3 linked regions of the Mus musculus genome follow. The protein of the gene in region 2 purifies or fractionates together with the protein of the main gene of each other region. This does not show direct contact. Links are inferred from orthologs where the notes say so. Each region holds a gene or a part of one and is shown on either strand. Other genes may lie near its edges.

What was found.
Region 1: the proteins of Seh1l (region 2) and Nup85 purify together in Homo sapiens (affinity purification with western blotting; 4 studies listed by BioGRID and IntAct, with this or other methods). This does not show direct contact. The link is inferred for Mus musculus from reciprocal best matches to the Homo sapiens genes SEH1L and NUP85.
Region 3: the proteins of Seh1l (region 2) and Nup98 fractionate together in Homo sapiens (co-fractionation; 3 studies listed by BioGRID and IntAct, with this or other methods). This does not show direct contact. The link is inferred for Mus musculus from reciprocal best matches to the Homo sapiens genes SEH1L and NUP98.

The regions. Positions count from the first base shown.
Region 1 is NC_000077.6:115,565,542-115,574,069, reverse strand, and holds part of Nup85 (nuclear pore complex protein Nup85), read right to left. Parts: intron 7,470-8,528; coding exon 7,307-7,469; intron 5,708-7,306; coding exon 5,637-5,707; intron 5,392-5,636; coding exon 5,348-5,391; intron 4,369-5,347; coding exon 4,299-4,368; intron 4,072-4,298; coding exon 3,950-4,071; intron 1-3,949. UniProt on the Homo sapiens protein: Essential component of the nuclear pore complex (NPC) that seems to be required for NPC assembly and maintenance. As part of the NPC Nup107-160 subcomplex plays a role in RNA export and in tethering NUP96/Nup98 and NUP153 to the nucleus.
Region 2 is NC_000084.6:67,791,876-67,795,475, reverse strand, and holds part of Seh1l (nucleoporin SEH1), read right to left. Parts: coding exon 3,462-3,600; coding exon of another isoform or gene 3,458-3,461; exon of another isoform or gene 2,883-3,457; intron 2,327-2,882; coding exon 2,314-2,326; 3' UTR 760-2,313; coding exon of another isoform or gene 576-759; 3' UTR 1-575. UniProt on the Homo sapiens protein: Component of the Nup107-160 subcomplex of the nuclear pore complex (NPC). The Nup107-160 subcomplex is required for the assembly of a functional NPC.
Region 3 is NC_000073.6:102,151,728-102,160,255, forward strand, and holds part of Nup98 (nuclear pore complex protein Nup98-Nup96 isoform 1 precursor), read right to left. Parts: intron 5,442-8,528; coding exon 5,325-5,441; intron 2,367-5,324; coding exon 2,068-2,366; intron 1,523-2,067; coding exon 1,409-1,522; intron 730-1,408; coding exon 591-729; intron 1-590. UniProt on the Homo sapiens protein: Plays a role in the nuclear pore complex (NPC) assembly and/or maintenance. NUP98 and NUP96 are involved in the bidirectional transport across the NPC. May anchor NUP153 and TPR to the NPC.

The sequences.
Region 1 (8,528 bases), on a different chromosome or scaffold from region 2:
GAAGACTTTAAGGCACCTGTCCACACTAAACCCAGACACAAAGCAGGAGGTCAGTTTCCTCAGCTGTACAGCCACTGGGAAGTTGTCCATACTACGGAAAATACCCCCCTACCCACTCATGCAAGCAGCCCTAATGAAAATCAGTGAGGCAGACACACAGATAGGAAAGCAAGAGGGAGACATGTCAGGGAGAAGGGCTTCAATGGGAGAGAAAGAGGATGAGAGGGGACGGAGAAGGAAAATTACTAAAATTCTAGCCAGGTGACGACACTCACCTTTAATCCTGTGACTCAGGAGCCAGAGACAGGCAGATCTGACTGGGAGGCCAGCCTGGTCTACAGATAGTCTAGTTCTAGGATAGCCAGTGCTACACAGAAAAACCCTGTCTCAAACATACACACACCCCAAAATAAAAAGCAAATAAAAAATTACTAAAATTCACTATTTAAAAAAACATTTCTAACTGGGCATGATGGTGCCTGCCTTTAATCCCAGCACTCAGGAGGCAGATGCTGGTGGATCTCTATAAATTTGGGGCCAGCCTGGTCTACAGAGTGAGATCCAGAATAGCTGAGGCTACACAGAGAAATCCTGTCTCCAAAAAAAAAAAAGTTTTATGTATGTATATATGTATGTAGGTAGGTAGGTAACTGGGGAGGCACATGCATCTGAGGCCAGAGGAGCTGAACTTCCAACCACACCAACATAAGTGGTGACCAACTAAACTTGGTGCTTTGCAAGAGCAGCCAATATATGCTCTTGATCGCTGAGCAATACATCCAACCCCAAAATTCATTATAGACACGTATAAAACTGCCAAGTAACTTTTCAATGGAAAAGAAGAGCTCAGGGCTGGGAGATGACTCAGTCGGGAAAGCTCAGGTCTTGCAAACTCAAGGGCCTGAGCTCTAGCTGAAGACCAGCGTAAACATGTGAGTTGTGGAGTACACAGCTATAATCCCAGCAAGAGGCAAACAGGACTCAGAAGTTGGTACTGTCATGTAGCTCCATCCAGTAATGTGAAGAGTGAGAATACTTCTCACTCAGAGCAATCAGAATAAAATCCATAGAAACATTAAGGGTTAGATAAGTGTGTACAAAGCTCTGCTTTGAGCCCCACAGTGGGGGGACAATATGTTTGTCCATATATGTTTGGCCAGAAATATAGCTCAGTGTCAGAAAGTCCACCTTACACAGACAAAACCCAATTCATTCTCTCTCTCTGTCTGTCTGTCTGTCTTTCTCTCTCTCTCTCTCTCTCTCACACACACACACACACACACTTCTGAGAGTCAAACATGGTGGCTTACGTGTGTAATCCAAGTATTTGAGAGCTGAGGAAGAAAAGTTGCCATGAGTGGCCAGTACAATGTGAGACTTTCTCTCAAAACACCAGATACTAACACAAGCAAACCAACAAGTAGACACAGGCCCCACACAGGGGCCTGCTGCGAGCAGAAACACACCGAACCACGCTATGGCCTAGGTATGCCCATCAGCTGGTAGAAAGCCTCCACCAGGTCCTGGTCATCCCCAGCATGACAGAAAACTCAAAATGGTGGCAAATGCGTGTAAGGAGAAAGATCAGAAACTCCATCTCATGCTTGGCTCAATGGCAGTCAAGGCCATGCAAGTTCCTGTATCAAAAAAACCAAAAGCCAAACCAAAACAAACTTTTTTGGGGCTGGAGAAACAGCTCACTAGTTAAGTGTGCGCTCTGCCCTTGCAGAGGACCCAGATTCAGCACCCACGTGCCAGTTCACAATCATCTAAACCCCAACTTCACAGGCTCCGACACCCTCTTGGCCCGCACAGCTGCCTAGCACACATACAGTTCACATACATAACATACATACACTCGCCGGTCGTGGTGGCGCACACCTTTAATCCCAGCACTCGGGAGGCAGAGGCAGGCGGATTTCTGAGTTCGAGGCCAGCCTGGTCTACAGAGTGAGTTCCAGGACAGCCAGGGCTATACAGAGAAACCCTGTCTCGAAAAACCAAAAAAAAAAAAAAAAAAAAAAAAAAAAAATACATACACTCATATGTATACTCATATGACTAAAAACACATTTATCTTTGTTTGGTTGGTTGGTTGATTTGTTTAGACAGGGTTTCTCTGTGTAACTCTGGTGTCCTGGAATCTCTCTGTAGAACAAGCTGGTCTTGAACTCAGAGATCCACCTGCATCTGCCTCCTGAGTTCTGGGATTAAAGGTTGAGTGTCACCATTGCCTGAAACTGATTAATCTTTACAATACAAAAAATCCAAACAAAGGTTGGCTGAGACGGGATCTCACGATACTGCCCAGGCTGTCTCCGATCCCAAGGTCGAGTGGTATTCCCACCTCAACCACCCAGTAACTGTAACCAGAAGAATGCGCTACCATCTGCCCAGCTGGCAACACTGACCAGGGCCTGGGGATGACGGGATGATGCTCATTAGCAGAGGAAAGCTTTCCCACCATGTATAAGCACTTGCCTAGACTATCAAGGTCCTGGGTTCAATCCCAGCACATAAGGTGACCAGAGGCTCAGTGGAACTCAGCCATGTGCAATGGTTCAGTGTTTAGCAGTTTGGTTGAGGGCAGCTCTAATGCCCATAAACAATGACCTGACTGTACAAGTAAGCGTATATAAAACATACAAAGACTCCTAGTAACATACACACCTGAGCATATGTACTCAAGTCCCCAAATCGCCTTCTGACAGACAGACTCAAATCTCCAACGACCTATTCTGCATCTAAACTTAGGACTTGAATAAGTGTCTACGCACCATTCCTTCTCCTTCACCAGATGCACACACCCACCTTCCTTTTTCTCACATATTCCTTGCCAACTGTATTCTTTTTGTGGTGGTGGGAATCAAACATAAGGACTAGTGCATGCTAGGCAAGTACTCTACCACTAAACTACATCTCCAGTCCCCTGACCAATTTTATGTTTTGAAAGAGTTTCCCTATATTGCCTCAGAAAATACAAGTTAACAAAGATCTATATACCAAGACCGTCTAAAGAGAAATCAAGGCACAGCAGGCACATATATAGCGCACATATGTAATCCCAGCATTCAGGAGGTAGGATTATGAAGCCAGCCTGGTTTAGAAATGAGCTCCAGGCCGGTAGGGTTACACAGTGAGACCTTGTCTCAAAAAGCAAACCAAAGTAGTTCCAGGACAGCCAGGGCTACACAGAGATACCCTGTCTCATGGAGAAAAAAATAATGGGGCAATGGTGGCCACACCTTTAATCTCAGCAGTTAGGAGACAGAAGCAGGTGGATCTCTGTGGGTTCCAAGCCAGTCTGGTAGGACAGACAAGCCTACACAAAGAAACCCTGAATTAAAATACATAAATAAATTCAACAAAATAAGCCAACAAAGTAACCAAAAAGATCCTTTCTCGCCTTGTGGTGCTGGAGATCGGTCTCCCAGATGCTATGTAGGCACTCACTACAATGCCACCTCAAGGTCCTTCCTCAGTGCGCCTCAGCTTTCCTAGTGCCCAGACCCTTTAACAGAGCTCACATTGTGCTAACTTCCAGCCATGGAATTATTTCATTGCTACTGTCATGAATAGTAATGTAAGCATCTGATATGCAAATCCCCTGGGAGCATGAGCCACAGGTTGTGAACTGTTGCCCCAGAGTGTTCTACCTCAGACCACTTATGCTCATGTGCACCCCATCAACCGCTTGGTCCCCTTATAACCTCTCTTCCTCAGACCTACAAACAAAATCCTCCTGAAACGACGGCAAGTTTACCAAGCACCGCTCCCCGTGCTAAATTAGTTTTAAACTGCTCTGGAGCAGAGAAGGAAAGATGCAAAACCTACTCCACAATCATAAACTCAGAGAGCTGAGCCAAGGCTGGAGCAGGGGTCCTCCCAGTCAGCCGACTGCAGCGCGCAGAGTGCACAGGGCGGGCGGCTGCCGTCCGCGCACACTCACCAGGTCCCAGAAGTTTTCATGCTTGCTTGGGTTGTCACCGCCCAGGACATCTGCCGACAAACTGTCCACCTCGCACACGTGCAGTCGGACCCAGTCAAGAAGGTGAAGGAGGAGAGGGCCAGCTGAGGAGAGACTCATGTCACACAAAAGAGCTCAGCTTCATCTGCGGCATCTCCACTCCACCCAAGTACAGACACGGACGTGGATTTATAGCAGAGGACCTGACTGGACAGAGGGCTATTTATTCCCTGCAACTAGGAAGGACAGAGGACGACAGGAACCCTGTGATGCTAAGACAGAGTTAGCCTGGGCTAAGTGAGGCTACATGAAACAAACAAATTGGGGTTACCTGGTGCTACTTCAATAAAGAGAATCTCACACAGGTTCCAAATGAGCTCCATGGCTGACAAAATGGAGACCTAGGGAAGAAACGGAGACTAGTTTTAACTGAAACTATTACTGAAACTCGAATGCAAAGCAACAGACAGCAAGAGAGATGGCTTCACAGTCAATAGACTCTGCTGTGCACACATCAGGAGCAGAGTTTGGATCATAGCACACAGATAACAAGCTGGAGACCTGAGCACATCTGAGGCCTCAGCTACAAAGGGAACAGAAAGGAGGGTCACTGCAGCTTGCTGGTGTCCAGCATAGCCAAAATAACACAACTCCCAGGATCAAGAAGAAAGAGAATGAGCAGAGAGAGTGGACATTCAACATCTTCTTCTGTCCTCCACATGCATGCACAGGTACGCTTGTACATACATACACACAATAAAAACTGTTTTAAAAAGGTGACATGTCAGCCGAGGGCATAGCTCAGCAACAGTGTGCATACTTAGCACACCTACAACACTGGAACCAAGACCAGGCACTGCAACAACCGAAAAAGCAAAGCCCAACCTAAGATGCTTTAGGAAGATGAACGTCCCCCACCCCACCCCACCCCCCTCCATCACCCCTTGTTCCAGGGGGAGAGCATACTGTGCCCATCAGAGAAAGCCTATTTTCCCTGTTCATGAGTTAGAAAAGCTCTGGGGTCTCACTGAGGAAAGAGTCCTAGATGTCGCCTTCTAGTCCTGCTGAGTTATAACCACATGCTGCTTGACAACAATTCTGAGTTCATGAGACCAAGCAGTAGTCCTAGAAGCTCGGTTCTCCATCTCAAGTGACAACTCACAAACACCATGTGTTAGGACTCATCTTTTCCACAAGCAATGAAAACCCTGAGTTCCCATGGGCTAAAACCTTGACCAACACTTTCAAAGCCATACTTGCCATCCCAAAGAGCTGCTGATCTACCTGAAAAGGAGAGCCCTCCTGCAACAGGGACCACAAAGCCACCACCCTACGCACTAACACGATGTTGCCAATACAATGAAAGCAGCTACACCTTACCTGGCTGCTGAACTGCCGGCCACTGGCTGGATCTTTAGCAGCAACTAGCAGAATACAAAACACCTTAAGTCAATCAACCTGCACTGAATGTAGCTCATCTCCTAAGCCCTCAGAAGCCCCATACGGTTTTTGCCTTGGTTTCTTTTACCACCCACCCATTTTCATGTGAAACGCTTATGGATCACACATTAAAACAAGGACCTATTATGAACTGCACAGCAGCCTCCTTAAAGGCCTCTGGAGAAAACAGCACCAGATAACGTACTTCAAACACACACAGGGTCCTTACTTGCAACCTGATGCATTTCTTCCATACAGGCCCGTATGACTGAACGGTAATTTTTACTCACTCGAACCAATCTACAAAAAAAATGAAATGACATACAAGATGACATGGAACCGTATCTTGATGCTAGAAAGAGAGAAATCAAAAGACAGGAGACGGGCTGCAACATCAATTCCAGGAGCTCTGAGTGCTCTGGCCTCCAGTACATATAAACTCATGTGGTCACACCATACCACACAACAAACAAACAGCTTTGTCACAGTGGTTTTAAAGTGCGTACTACTGTTGGAAAGGACCAGAGTTCAGTACCCAGCACCCTTATCAGATGGCTCACAACTGGCTGCAATTCTGGTTCTAAGAAACCCAATGTCATCTTCTGATTCCCACAGGTACCTGCACCAATATGCACCTACACATACATGGTTAAAATAAGTCTGGACTGCAAAGACGGCTCAGGTTAAAAGCACTACTGTTGTAATCAAGCCTGTGGCGTATTTTCTCAGTTGATAACTGATATGGGAGGTGCCATCCGAAGCTGGCGGTCCTGGCTGCTGTAAGAAAGCAGACCGAGGGGCTGCAGAGATGGCTCAGTGGTTAAGAGCTCTGACTGTTTTTCCAGAGGTCCTGAGTTCAATTCCCAGCATCCACGTGGTGGCTCAAAACCATCTGTAATGGGATCTGATGCACTCTTCTGGTGTGTCTGAAGAAATAAATCTTTTTAAAAAAAAAACAAGAAAGAAAGAAAGCAGACTGAGCAAGCCACGACAGTATGGCAGTGTGCAGGGCTCCTCCACGGCTTCTGCATCAATTTCTGCTAAAATTCAGTGCTCGATGCTCCAAGCACTGAATTACCACAAGCCTGGTAATCGTGTCTGTAACCCTGAGCTTGAGAAGTAGAGGCAAGAGGACCAGAAACTCAAGGATACACACGTATTTGAGCACATACATAGCCTGGGCTACACAAGTCAGCAGAGTGCATGCCAGGTGTATGAAACCCAGTTTCACCCTCATCTACTTACTGAGCTCAAGGAACGAGCACAACAACAACAACAAAAAAGAGTGAATAATAGGAAAGAAAAAAAACAAACCGTAGCCTGGAGGGCTGGCCCAGTATCACGGCTCAGCAGCTGGGCACTCAAAGGCAGCTCGAGCTCCGCCACCCCAAAAGGAAGCAAAAAAACCAAATCCTGATTCCTTGTCAAAAACACAAGCTTGAGAAGCAAGTCTTTCTTTTCCATTTGCCTTGTCTGCTGACGCCTGTATTTCTTTCATATTAAGACAGGGTCTCGCTTCTGCAGCTCTGGGCGGCCTGGAACTCACTCTGCTGACTACCAGCTCTTAAAGATCTGTCAGCCTCGTTTTTAACTCTTTCAAGAGTGAGATCTAATTCAAGGGCTTCTCTGTCTGAGTCTTCCTTTCACCATATTTATATTATTTTTATTTTGGTCGGTGGTGGTGTTCAAGGGACACATACAAATGAAGTAGGAATCCAAAAGGAAGAGTTGATACATATATATCAAGCCAGTAAGTCTTCCAACAGCATTTACACAATGCACAACTACACCCTAAGAAGATACACAGGAGAACAGGAACCCCGAGGTGCCCCGGCACTCACAAGGATAAGGACGCCTCCCTCTCACGACTTCACTGCAGCCTCAGCACCCACCACTTACTGAGCTTTCCTGGACTTCCCCGACAGTTCTTCCTCAATTTTTTGCAGGCCAACAAAGATTCCATGGGATTCATTGAAGAGTTTTCTCAAAATTTGAGAGTAAACATCCACATCTTTCCGTATGATGTAGATAAAAGGGCAGCTCGGCACCTTCTCTGATTTGCCTGTAACAAAACAGGAAAAAAAGTAACTCAACATCTACCATTTTCCCCAAAAGAGAAAAACATCCCAGTACTTCTAATTCTCTAATTACAAAGCCCGGCTGAGCCTGGGGCACATGTCCACTTTCTCCACCGGTGGGAATGAGACGGGAGGATTAAAACTCAAGGGAAGACTAGTGCACACAGTCGGCCAAGCAAACCAGGTTTACGCCAAAAGAAAAAAAGATTTGTCTTCATCTGGTCTGTGTAGGCTGAGATTACAATACAAGCAGGCAGCACAACACAGACTTCTTTTTTGGTGATATTGATGATCTAATTAAGGACACTGCCCATGCTAAAGAAGTTATCACTGAGCCACTGAGTGATAGCCTACATCCTTGGTTTTTGAGAATGGGTCTGGCAACATATCCCAGGCAGCTGGGGACTCTCTATTCCCCCCGCCAACTCTTCTGCACAGTAGAAAATCTAAGGTTGCAAGCGAGCGTTGCCTGAACCCAGGACTTTGCCTTCAGCTGAGGCAGTCTAACTCACTTCTTTGGGCTTGTTTTTGTTGGGTTTCTCAAGACAAGATTTCTCTGTGTAGCCCTGGTTGACCTAAAACTCATTCTGTAGATCAGGCAGGCTGTGAACTCACAGAACCACCTGCCTCTCTGTCTCCTGAGTGCTGGGATTAAAAGGTGCGTATCTCCACACCTGGGCTATATGGGTCGTTTCTAAAGGTTAATTATAGGAAGGGGGCTGAAGAGATGGTTTGGCGTCTAAGACAACTGGCTGAAATTTCCTGCCTTTAATCCTAACACTCAGGAAAAAAGAGCAAGTAATTTCTGAGTTCAAAGCCAGCTTGGTCTAAACCAAGTACCAGGACAGCCAGGCTACACGGAGAAACCATCTCAAAAAACCAAAACCAAACAAGAAGTACACAGGCAGCTCTTCCAGAAGACCTAAGTTCAACTCCCAACACCCCATATGGCAACTCACATAAATATAGAGTTCTAGTTCCTAGAATCCAATGATCTCATTTGGCCTCTGCGGCACCAAGCACGGAGTGGTGCACAGTTATGC
Region 2 (3,600 bases):
AAAATATTTTTATTAAATAACCTACTTGGAGGATAATTACAAAATCCTTAAGTATTAATTCCCAGTAGTGAAAGGCATTTTCCTTTAAAAAAAGAAAAAAAAGACAAAAATATCCTTATGATTTGCTGCTTTATACACAGGAATGATTTATTTTACAGTCATCTGTAACATCAGCGTATAAAATTCAAAACATTTCTTAATGTCTGAAGTCCAGAGTGAAGTTCACAATGATACGCTCTCCTATGAAGCTACCTATCAACAGACAAACCTGAACTCTATGGTAACAACTCCACACAGAATTTACAAGGCAGGCACTTTGAATCAGATACTGGGAATCTTTCACAGTTAATATTGCTTTTTCTGAAGCTCCTCTCATCAAAGGTAACCAACTAGTGAAGCCAAGGCTTCCTTGTGCAGAAGTACAAAAAAAGGTTTGGTTTCAAACACTTGAGTTGTGATACATGCAAGACATGCCCTAAATAAGAAGGATCTTCTAAAAGAAAATGAAGAAACCAAAAAGCAGCCCAGAATAAAAGCATTTACAAGCATCTGGATAAGGCCTTTACGTCAGTATTTTACACCCCTTCATTCTCAGGTAAGGGGTTAAGAGGCCGAGAGAGGTATCCTCTGCGAGGGTGAGGATACTGGAGGTTGGCATCGCAAGAGTGCTCTAGCAGAGGAGCAGGAGGAGGAAGGAGCTGGGCACAACTGGACCATCTTGATCCAGCCCGTGGGGAATCCAGAGGGGGAAAGAAATACCTGAAATAATGAAGACAGGAACAAAACACCAAAACAAAAACAACAGAGGGGAAAGGAGGGAGGGAAACAGAAGAAAAAGAGAAAAGCAGTAAATACAAAGAGAACCAAAGAAGAGAAAACATGCTGGAAGGAAGGAAAAAAAGCTTGTATATTCATGCCACAACCGATAGAACAACAGTACAAATCAAGACTTGCACTTGAATCAAGGTTGCTTAAGAAGTATAAAAGTTTGAAAAAAAATACAATATGTTAAAGTTAAAATGCCCCCCCAAATTACCAGTACCTATGTTACAGAGACATTCATTTTATAAATGTGAAGCCTTGTCTAATCCCATCTGATTCTTTCATTTACATTGCTTTCCACTGTCAGCAGTCCTGCATGTGCTGCAGCGGCAGGCACACCTCCTAGGTGCGTACATGATACTGAGAACCAACTCCAATAAACTACACGGGAAAGCTGGTCATGCCACAGGCTTTGAAAAATACAACCATTGGACAGCCTTAGTTTCCTGCAAAAAACTTAGAATAGCTACAGAATTTTGGTGCAAAAAAGGCTCATAGAATTATATCTACCATCTTATAACTTACCCGTAATATGTATGCAGTTTAGTCAATAAAAAGGTGTATAACTTTGTCATCAAAGTCAAAAGTGTCAAAAGACAGGAACTCATTGAAACAACACATTAAAAATCCTGAGACATGGAATTTCAATTGCATGCACATTTTCTGAAAAATGTCAACTTATGTTTCCAAATTGTCTTAAAAGAAACGAAGATGTGTAGGATCATACCATAAACATTCATGCATATATTAGAAACATCCATCTTTGTAATGGGTATGAGATGAAAACTTAGAAGTGTTTCCACTTCTAAACTAGCAAATGCTAATGTGCTGCTTGGCTACAAACCATTGTATAGACTGTGGTGCCAGGTTACTAGTATTTTTAATTACAAGAAAAAGTCGTTGTGTGGATAATATCACCTGTAAAGTGGTTGTGTGGATAATATCACCTGTAAAGTCATTGTGTGGATAATATCACCTGTAAAGTCGTTGTGTGGATAATATCACCTATAGAGCAATTCTACAAAAGGTAAACACATTACCACTCAAAACAATCTTTAAGAAAATATTTATTCGATTTTCAAATTAAAATTATAAAAACTCATCATTTTAGCTTATTGTTTTAGAAAATAAAAGACATATTCCTATATTCTCCAAACGGAATAAAATTATATTTTCCCTCCTCCCAAATGCTTATGAGGATAATAGCAATGCTTTCCCAAGTTAGTCTCCAGAACATCCCAAAAAATTGTTTTGGTGATGATGTGTCAACAAAAAGCCTTTCCATTTATAGTGTCAGGAGGCTGACTAGTACAAAAGTTATATACACTGTCACTTTAAAGGCCTTTTGGACTGTGTGTAGTAGTGAACGGGCTGCTGGTGCATCTTGGAAGAGATCAAACGGCGCTGGGGAAGGGGAAAAGGAGTTGATTTCCATTCCTGTGTGCATGCAACAAGCAGCAAAACAGCAAAGTTACTCCAGCTAGCTTGTACTCAGCTGTGCTTTCTGTTAAAGGACACAACACAAACGGAGAAGGAGAATGCATCACAGATCTAACATAGATGGTTATTGGCACAATAAGAAAACAGATCAAAGCTATTTATGGAAGAAAATAACACAGAACTAAAGCTGTAACCTAAAACCAGATTTTTAAAAATTAACTCTACTATGCTTTCCTTCATAAAATAATTTGTTCTTCTCCATAGTAACTGGAAACACTTTCTATAGTTGCAAATACTTAAAACCTCAAAATCAAACAGCAAAATTTCTTGATTAAGAAATAGGTTACAATAGGGTAACACAGAGCCATTTTAAAGTGGAATTTTGAAGTTTCCCAACCTCTATTCCAAATTATACTCAAAGGCATATTTTAAATTTTTTATATTGCAAATTTACATATTTGAAATATGAATGACAAAAACTGACTCTAGATTATGTCAAATTTTGTTTTAAATGTATGCAGAAGAGCCTAAACTTCAAAATCTTGTATTTTACCACTATTATACACACTATTATACACACAAAAGACCAATCATTTCACACACTGGTCTCACAAAGCTGTAGTTATGGACTTTATTTAAAATTTCAATGTGATTTGATACAAAGCCTACCCAAGAGGCACTAAAAACATCCGAATATTTATCTAAGAGTCAGCTCTATTAAACAACATCTCCTTTCACTGCTGCAGAAAAGAACACAGAATCATAAAACGACTAACATTTTTACTGACCACTGAATTCCAGAATATAATTCAATGGACTTAAAAAACTGTCCATACTATAACCAAGGAAGCCACTAAATACAGACAAGAGTGAAATTCCAAGAGTAAGTGTCACAATTATTGGTGAATTACTTTATTCCATCTTAAAATTCACCTTTTAGTATGACTACCAGGAGAGGTGGCTCAGCAATTAAGGGCCCTGGCTGCTCTTGCAAAGGACCCAGGTTTGATTCTGAGCACCCACATGGTGGCTCACATGAATCCGTAACTCCACTTCCAAAACACTTGACTCTTTGGCCTCCCCAAACATTGCACACATTATGGAGCAGAGATATACAAGCAGGTAAAACACCCTACACATAAAAAGTGTGCATGGGGGCAGGGAAGGAGGTTTCTAGTTTTTCCCACAGAAGAGCCTACCTGCTAGCAGAAGTTCCATTTAATGAATTTTGAAGATTTGGAATATTTGAGCTCAGTGAAGGATTTGAGTTTCCCAGCTGAGAACTCCCATTTACTGGGCTCCCGTTACCTTTCAAAATACCAGTACACTTCCAATTGT
Region 3 (8,528 bases), on a different chromosome or scaffold from region 2:
TGTTTACTGGAGTTCTGCAAATGTGACTTTTACCAATCACACATCTTATCCAGAGGAAGATGGATGTAGCAGTACAGGAGTGTTACTACAGCACAGGGGAGGTGAAGCAGGAATGCCGTGAATCAAAGCTAAGTTAGGGTTCAACACCACACCGGTTACAGTGCGAGCTATCTAACCTCCCACCATATCCAAGCAATATATGGCAACAGAATGCCTACAAAACAAAATAAACGTTAGTCTCACATTTAAATAGTTGAGTGTACCAGTGGCAGAACAAGAAGAAATACAACAAAACAAGAAAACTTTCTGGAGTTGGTGCTCACTGGCAGAGTGATTTTCAACATGTATGAGGCCCTAGTTTAATCTCTACCTCTGAAAAGCAAAATTAAGCAAAGGCAAACTTCCATTGTTGAAAGTTCCTGAAAATAGCATGTGAACACATTACCATTAGGGAAAGGTATGAGTCCTAAAGTCACAGAGCATCATTACCATTTATACTTTCAAATAAGAGTAGACAAACAATAAAAGTTTATAGAAAGACTGTGTTTTCAGGAAAAAACTCCAATTTCTGTATATAAATAAATTCATACCTATTTAGCCCTTCACCCACAGGTGGCTTTTGGTTATCATCTACATAGACAATAACTTCTTTCCTTCGGATATGCACAATATCATCCAAATTTAGATTTGTCAAATTCACATCTCCTTCAAAATAGATTGAGCCATATCCTAAAATTCAGAGCAAATGGTTAAAAAAGATCCTTCATAAAGGAGCAAAAATCTCCTTTAATCTGTAGTAATTAGGAAGGGAGAACATGCAACCTTTAATATCAGTATTTTAAACCTTCCAGAAATTCTTGGAGTAGCTTTCTGTCTCCTAAAGATGGCAAGAGTGGGGACCGAGGAATGGCATTATATAGTTATCAGATATAACATCTCCACTTTACATTTCTGGTGTCTTCAAATCTTCCCCAGTATCTCCAGTGCCAGTGTATGAACAACTTGGTTCCTCGTCTGCTACATAAACTAAAATACTTGAGCCCATTCAAAAGACTACTTCACAGAGTAAGTTTATTTAAAGAAAATTACCCATAACAATTTAATATAAAATTGATCACTGTATTAAAAACTTAGTATATCTTCAAGTTTAATTATGGAGAATTATGGGAAACATAATTACCAGACTCAAACAGGTATGTCTAAGCCCCCAAATTCTACATGGTTTTAGTCTTCCTTGCTTTATTACTTGTCAATGTTTCTATTAGTCTAAGTCAGGAAAGAACCAAATACAGGGGGGAAAAAAAAACCCAACAAGAACAAAAAACCAGACTCTAAAACCTAGAGTTGCCCTTAATAACATAGGCAAGGTCCAATCTCTAAGTTATATGACTTTTAAACTCACACTTACCTTTACGACCAATGGTGAAGTCAGAAACAATGCATTCTCCCTTCTCGTTGGTAATTTTAGCAAGGTCATCCATAGATGGGATAGTGTAATAACCAACTTTTGTGAGAACAATGCCTATGACCAAAAGTCAAAAAATATTGTGATTATACTTGAGTAGAACAGTTACCAGTTCTATTAATTTTATTTTCATATAACAATATGAGACAGGGTCTTATGTGTCAGTATGGCGTTGTAGTTAAAACAAAGCCAAGACCCTGAGCTTCTGAGCAACTTGCCTCCACATACTCAACGCAGAACTTGGGGTGCAGAGGCAGAAGGGTCACTGCAAGTTTGAAGAAAGCATGAGCAAGACCCAGACTCTATTCCCACAAACAGAAAAACAAAAACATTTTAAATGTAATATAGTCTACTAAACTTTGCTTAACCTAAGATTTGTAGATTTTATTTACCATAGAGTCCTCTTCTTAAAAGGAATACCCATAACATGGTAAGTCTCCATAGAATACACTATGGTAAGGTCTTACTAATAAACAATCCACTTGAATTTACAAAGTTAGGAAGATAGGACAGTCTCTTAGGCTATAAGAAGTGGACTCTTTTGACCACATTGCTGTAATTAAAAACTGTTTCAAAGATATAAAAAAGTATGTGAATCTGACCTGCTGGGTGTATGTGGTAAGCATTATTTTCTATCTCTTCTCGGTCATCTTGCAATGACTCATCATGGAATGACGTCTCTTCACTGCTTCCTTCCAATCCATTGCGCAAAGCAGCACGCATGTTCAAGGCAACAATGGTATCTTCCACATTGCTGCTACTGTTATTTTTGTTTCCAACACTCTCTGGAGTTTGTGGAATGGGTTTGGCAATAGGATTAGTGTAAAATCGTGATACAAGAGAGTCATCTTCTCCATCCTGCTGATTGTTCTCATCAACAGGTTTGCTCAGGAAGCTAAATCTGATAACGGAGAAAAAAATACCTTAGTCTTTGGCAATAGAAAAGGTGATGACAGCAGTTAATTTTTATTAAGGATCTGACATTACACCAGATGATTTAATAAATCCTTATAGCAGCTGTGTGAGATAGGATGTAATTACTACCTCTTAACCTGTAACAGGAAAACCAGATCAAAAAAAAAAATTTTGTGTAATATCACAAAGTTGTGAGTACTATCTAGAATTGAAGTTTTAAAATAGAAAAATCTAGGGCTAGAAAGATGGCTCAGTGGTTAAGAGGATGTGCTGCTTTGTATAGAGAATCCTGGATCAATTCCCAGCACAGACATGGTGGCTCCCAACAATTTGCAACCTAGTTCTAGAGGGTCTGATACCATCTCCCGGTCCCCTAAGACACCAGGCACACAAGTGTATACAAATATACATGCAACCAAAACACCCATGTACATAAAATAACAAACGAAAAACCTCAGAAAATCTAGCTCTAGGTTTCATAGCCTTGACTGCTCATTTTCAAAGGAATAAATCTGAGCAACCCCCTCTCACTCTGTGGGTGTGTTGGAGATCAAACTCAGATCTTCAGGTTTGATGACAAAGGCCTTTACTTAGCCATCTCCCCAGCCTTGATTTTGATTAAATCTTAGACTAAACACAAAATACTTGCTGCTATGTGAAAATAAATGATTAATGGTTAATGTCAAAATAAACACTGAACACTGGCTGTTTTTTCAGAGACCCAGGGTTTGATTCCCAACACTGACATGGAAGCTATCAACAATTCTAACTCCAGTTCCAGTGGATTTCACATAAGTGGACTCTATAGGCATTGTATGCACACAATGCACATACATACTTGTAGACAAAACACTCATATATATATAAAATTTTTAAAAATCTCAAAATTTGAATTTAAACTAATATTATAAACACAAGAGGTTTGGAAATACTTTAATGAAATATCAAATTACAAATTAAAAAATAGATGGCCCACTATTTTGAATAAAGGAATACCAAATAATCTCTGAAATTTCACTAATGGAGAGCTAACTAAACTATCTTATATTCATCACAATGACCACAAAGACCATTAACGATGGGGAATCAGGGCTGGCAAGAGGGCTGAGTGATGAAACAAAGCCTAAATGACTGAGTCTAATTCCTGGGGCCCATTTCCTGGAAGGAGAGAACCAACCTCTAAACCTACCACCACTGGCTGTTTCTTTCTCTCCTTTTCTTTTTCATTCATTCATTCATTCATTCATTCATTCTGTTTGTTTGAGACATAGTCTTTCTACATAGCCCTAGCTGTCCTGACCTCCATATGTAGACGAGATGACTGTCCCTCTCTGCCTCCAAGTGCTGGAAGTAAAGGCATGAATCACTATGCCTTTTTGTTTTCTAAAGTTTCACTAATTTTATGTGTGTGAATGTTTTGTCTGCATGAATTTATGTGCACCATATACATACCTAGTGCCTACAGTGGTCAGAAAAGGCATCAGATCCCCAGGAACTAGAGTTACAGGCATATATGAGCAACCATGCTGAAAGCTAAATTCAGGTCCTCTGCAGGAGCAGCAAGTGTTCTTAACAACCAATCCATCTTTCTAGGCCCTCATTTACTCAATCTAATTTTATTTATATTTTATGTACATGAGTGTTTTGCCTCCAGGTATGTATGTGTACATATGTATATATAGTGCTTACAGAGGACAAGAGGGGGCTGTATATCCCCTGGAACTAGAATTAGAGATGGTTGTGAGTCACAATGTAGATGTTATGAATGGTATACCAGTCCTTTGCAAGAGCAGCCAGTGATCTTCATTGCAGACCCATCTCATCAGGCCCTATTTTATTTTTTTTGTGAGACATTGGGTCCAATTAAGTCCTTTGCTTTCAAGAAAGACAGGTACTTTACAGACTAACGCTATTTTTCCAACAGCCCCTCAAGTAAATTTTTAAACTGGAAAACTACTAAATATTTAAATTGACTATTAAATAGTTAATAGTCAAACTAGTAAAAATGTTATAAATTATTTTTATTTACATATATGTTTGTTGAATGTATGTCATGTGTGTTGGCAAAAAGGTCAGAAGACAGTATTGGATCCCAGTTGTGAGCTGCCCAACATGGATGTCAGAAACCAAACTCCGATTCTCTGGAAGAACAAGTACTGATAACTGCAGAGCCAGCTCTTTAGCCCTTAAATTAGACTACTGAAGACAGGTATTTTATATGTGTATACACACACACAATTTATACATACATATACATACACACACACATATATACATATATATGTCTGTTTACTTCTTGTTTGTTATATTGATTTTACTTGATAGAATGAACATTATTTTAATAATCATCAGACTAACTGTACCTTAACTAACAGAAGTGCTTGCTAAAACTGCCCAAAGCCACATATAAGAATTACAAAATAGGGGCTGGCAAGATGGCTCAGCAGGTAAGAGCATTGACTGCTCTTCCAAAGGTTCTGAGTTCGGGTCCCAGCAACCACATTGTGGCTCACAACCAACCCGTAGTGATATCTGACGCCCTCCTCTGATGTGTCTAAAGACAGCTACAGCGTCCCTATTTATAATAATAAATCTTTGGGCTGGAGCGAACAGGGACTGAGCAAGCAGGGCCAACCAGAGCGAGCAGCAGTCCTAAAATTCAACTCTCAACAACCACATGAAGGCTCACAACCATCTGTACAGCTATAGTGTACTCATATACATAAAATAAATAAATCTTAAAAAAATAATTACAAAGTAGTTCTATAGAAATTAATCTGCTCCAATAATTTTTGAGGTTTAAAGTACTCTAGAAATAATAACATAACACCCAGGGGCCCTTGAATTATAGTAAGTCTATATAAAACTCAACCTTTATAAAATTAGAAGCTTTTAAAAGCAAAACAGAACGATTAACAACATCTTTAAAATGAATCCAGCTCACCTTTCTCCATTTTCTGGATACTCAGAGGGTGAAGCTAGATCTTCTGAATCATGATTAACAGGAGAAAAGAGATTGCTATTGTTGAGATTTTTCAAAACCAACTTCTTGATGCTCTTTCTAAAAACAGAGACCAAAAGAAAAAGATTAGATGTATTTAAAAACTGGAGCCCAAACCAGCAGTCTTATATATCCAAAACTCACCTAATAAAACTACATCTATAAAGTTTTTAGTGGTGTAATCACAACACACAGCCTCAAATATATTGCTCTTATTTTGAAGAAAAAAGCTGTTAAGATGCAGATTAAAGTGGAAAATAGTCTTGAAACTGGGTGTAGGGCATACTTTCAATCTCAGCACTAAAGAGGCAGAGGCAAGCTTGGTCTACTTCCAGGATAGCTAAGACTCCATAGAGAGACTCTTATCGACTTACCCCTTCCCTCAACACACATAGAATACACATTGTTCTTATAGAGTTCCCTAAGTTTGATTCCTAGCTCCCATCACAAAAAGTAGCTCACAACCCTCTATAATTACCTGGACTCATAGGTGGTCCCTCTTCTAGACTCCATTCGCACTCAAGTACATATTAAACACACACACACACACACACACACACACACACTTCAAAGCCTGTCTAAACAGAAGCCTGAGAGTGAGCCAGGAAGCAGTATTTCACTATGATTTCTACTTCAAGTTCCTACCTTGCATTTCTGCCCTGACTTCCTGAAATGACAGAAGTATATGCAGGAAGTATAAGACAAATAAATCTTTTCCTTCCTAAGCTGCCTTCGATCAAGTGTTTTACCACAGTAACAAAATGGAAAGCAAAACAGCATCAAGTATGTTTAACTACTTGGAAAAAATGCTATGAAATACAAATGAATACATATTATCCTTCCTTAAAAACAAATTACACAATAAAAATATAAAATCACACTTCTATTTTTTGTGACAAAGCAATTTACTTATAGGGATATGTGCGCGAAGTATGCACATGTGAGAATATTGGTGCATCAGCAAATGTAGAAGCAAGATGTGGGCCTTAGGTATCCTGCTGGATCATTTTCCAATTTACTTTGTTCAGACAAGGTCTTTCATTTGTCTTGGAGGTAAGCAAACAGACAAGAAAATGCCAGCAATCTTTCTGTCTCTACCACTACAATACTATAGACATGTATGTGGCTTTGAATGGCTTGTTATGTGGGTGCTTGGGCTTTGAATTCAGGTTCCCAGGCCTGTACATATGGTCTTAACCAGTGAACCATCACCAGAGTTCTCAACCCATAATTTTAAGAGTTTTGTTAGCTTTATTTTATGTGTATGTTTTGTCTGTGCATGCCTGATGTCCAAAGAAAGTCAGAAGATGAATCTGGATCCTCTGCAACTATAGCTAGAGACAGCTGTGAAACTGCTTAGATCCTCTTCAAGAGCAAAGAGTGCACTAAACCACTGAGCCTACTATAGTCACACCCTGACCCCTTTTTTATTTTGTTTTTTCAAAAAAAGATTTCTCTGTGTAGCCCTGGCTGTCCTGTCCTGGAACTGGGCACACAGAGAGCCACCTGCTTCTGCTCCCTCCGTGCTGGAACAAAGGTGTGCACCAACACTCAGCTTTTCCCAACCCGTATTTATTTGTAAGAAAAGGAGCTGTAATGAACTTATCATTTACCAACAAAGAATTCTAAGTAAGGAACTAAAAATAAAACATACACTTTTGCAATTAAAAAACTACTACTGCCTTTAAAAAAATGTTTGTGTGCCTACCTGTGTCTATCTAACTGCATATCGAGAATAAGCAACCCAGAATTGAGATGTCCCGTCTCTCAATGTCAGCAATCTGACATTGCTTCAGGGCCTTTCCCATGGATAACTTAATGGTGCCTAGTTTAACGCATCATTTATGTGGATTTTCCTATGCTTAACATTAATTCTTCCATATTCTTTCTTATTTTATCTCTTTCAAACTATTCTATTATTTGTTCTATATCCAGAAACAATTCTTATAAGAAATTAAAAAGAAGTGCAGATTCTTCTCAACCTGACCTTTCACTTTTCTTTTTCTCTGTGAAGCCCTGGCTAAATTGGAATTCACTGTAGAACAGGCAGGCCTAGAATATAATAATAATCCTTTATGTACTGTGTGGAAGCATCACCTGTCAATAAAAAGCTGGTGGCCTATTAGCAAAAGGCAGGAAGAAGAAGGCAGGAGGTTCCAGTAGAGGAAGATAGGAACAAGAAATGGTGAGAGTGGGGAAGCTCCACTATCTGGAGAAAGTTGGATGTATAAAACTAAGGAGAGGTAACCAGCTATGTGGCAGACACAGAACAGTTTAAATGGGTAAAATAAGTTATGAGCTACTGGGAACAACCCTAGTTTATGGTCTTGGAATTTTTTATAAATAATAAGCTTCTGAGTTGTTATTTGGAAACTGGAGCATGGTTAGAAATGCACACTAGAAGTCAGAGATCCACTTGCCTTGGCCTCCCAAGTGTTTGGATTAAAAGCATATACCACCGTAGAGGTATTTTAATACAGCAACATGGCTACTCTGACCCTATCCAAAAGCCTTTTAGGCCTGTGTGATCTGTCTGGAATTCAGATACAAGCTTAGTACATGTCTTTAATCCCAAACAATGAAGGTAAAGTTAGTATAGAGAAGGAAGCCTTATGTTTGAAAGTGATGTCTAATTGAGGGGCAGACAAACTGACAAATCTGAGGATAGTTTGACAGACTAGGATGTGCTCAACTCTCAGGAGAACAGAGAGAAAACAGGCAACATAAGAGGGAGTGGCGCAGAAGAAGAGAGCAAAGAGGCAGACTTAGCAGAACGGTTGGTTTTACAGAGACAGGCTGCAAAGAGAGAACAAGCTAGACACAGGGGAAGACAGACAAGTCAGAGAAAGAGGAGCAGCCAGAAGATTAGAATAGATTTCCAAAGTTAGTCTGAGACCAAGCAGTGCAATTCAGTCAGAAGCTGAGAGAAGCCAAATTGAGTCAGTCACCCTGGAGAGGAGTTTGAGCCAGAATAGCTGAGTTAAGCCAGCCAAAAGATTTCAGAAAGAACTAGAAAGGGTGAGTGAGCATTTTCAGCAGTAAGTCTCAGAGGATGAAAATATTCTAGGCTTAGATTAGATTGTATAGAGGCTAGAAGCGTCAAGGACTAGGTTAGCAGACAGTGACAGGAAAATGAAAGTTACATTT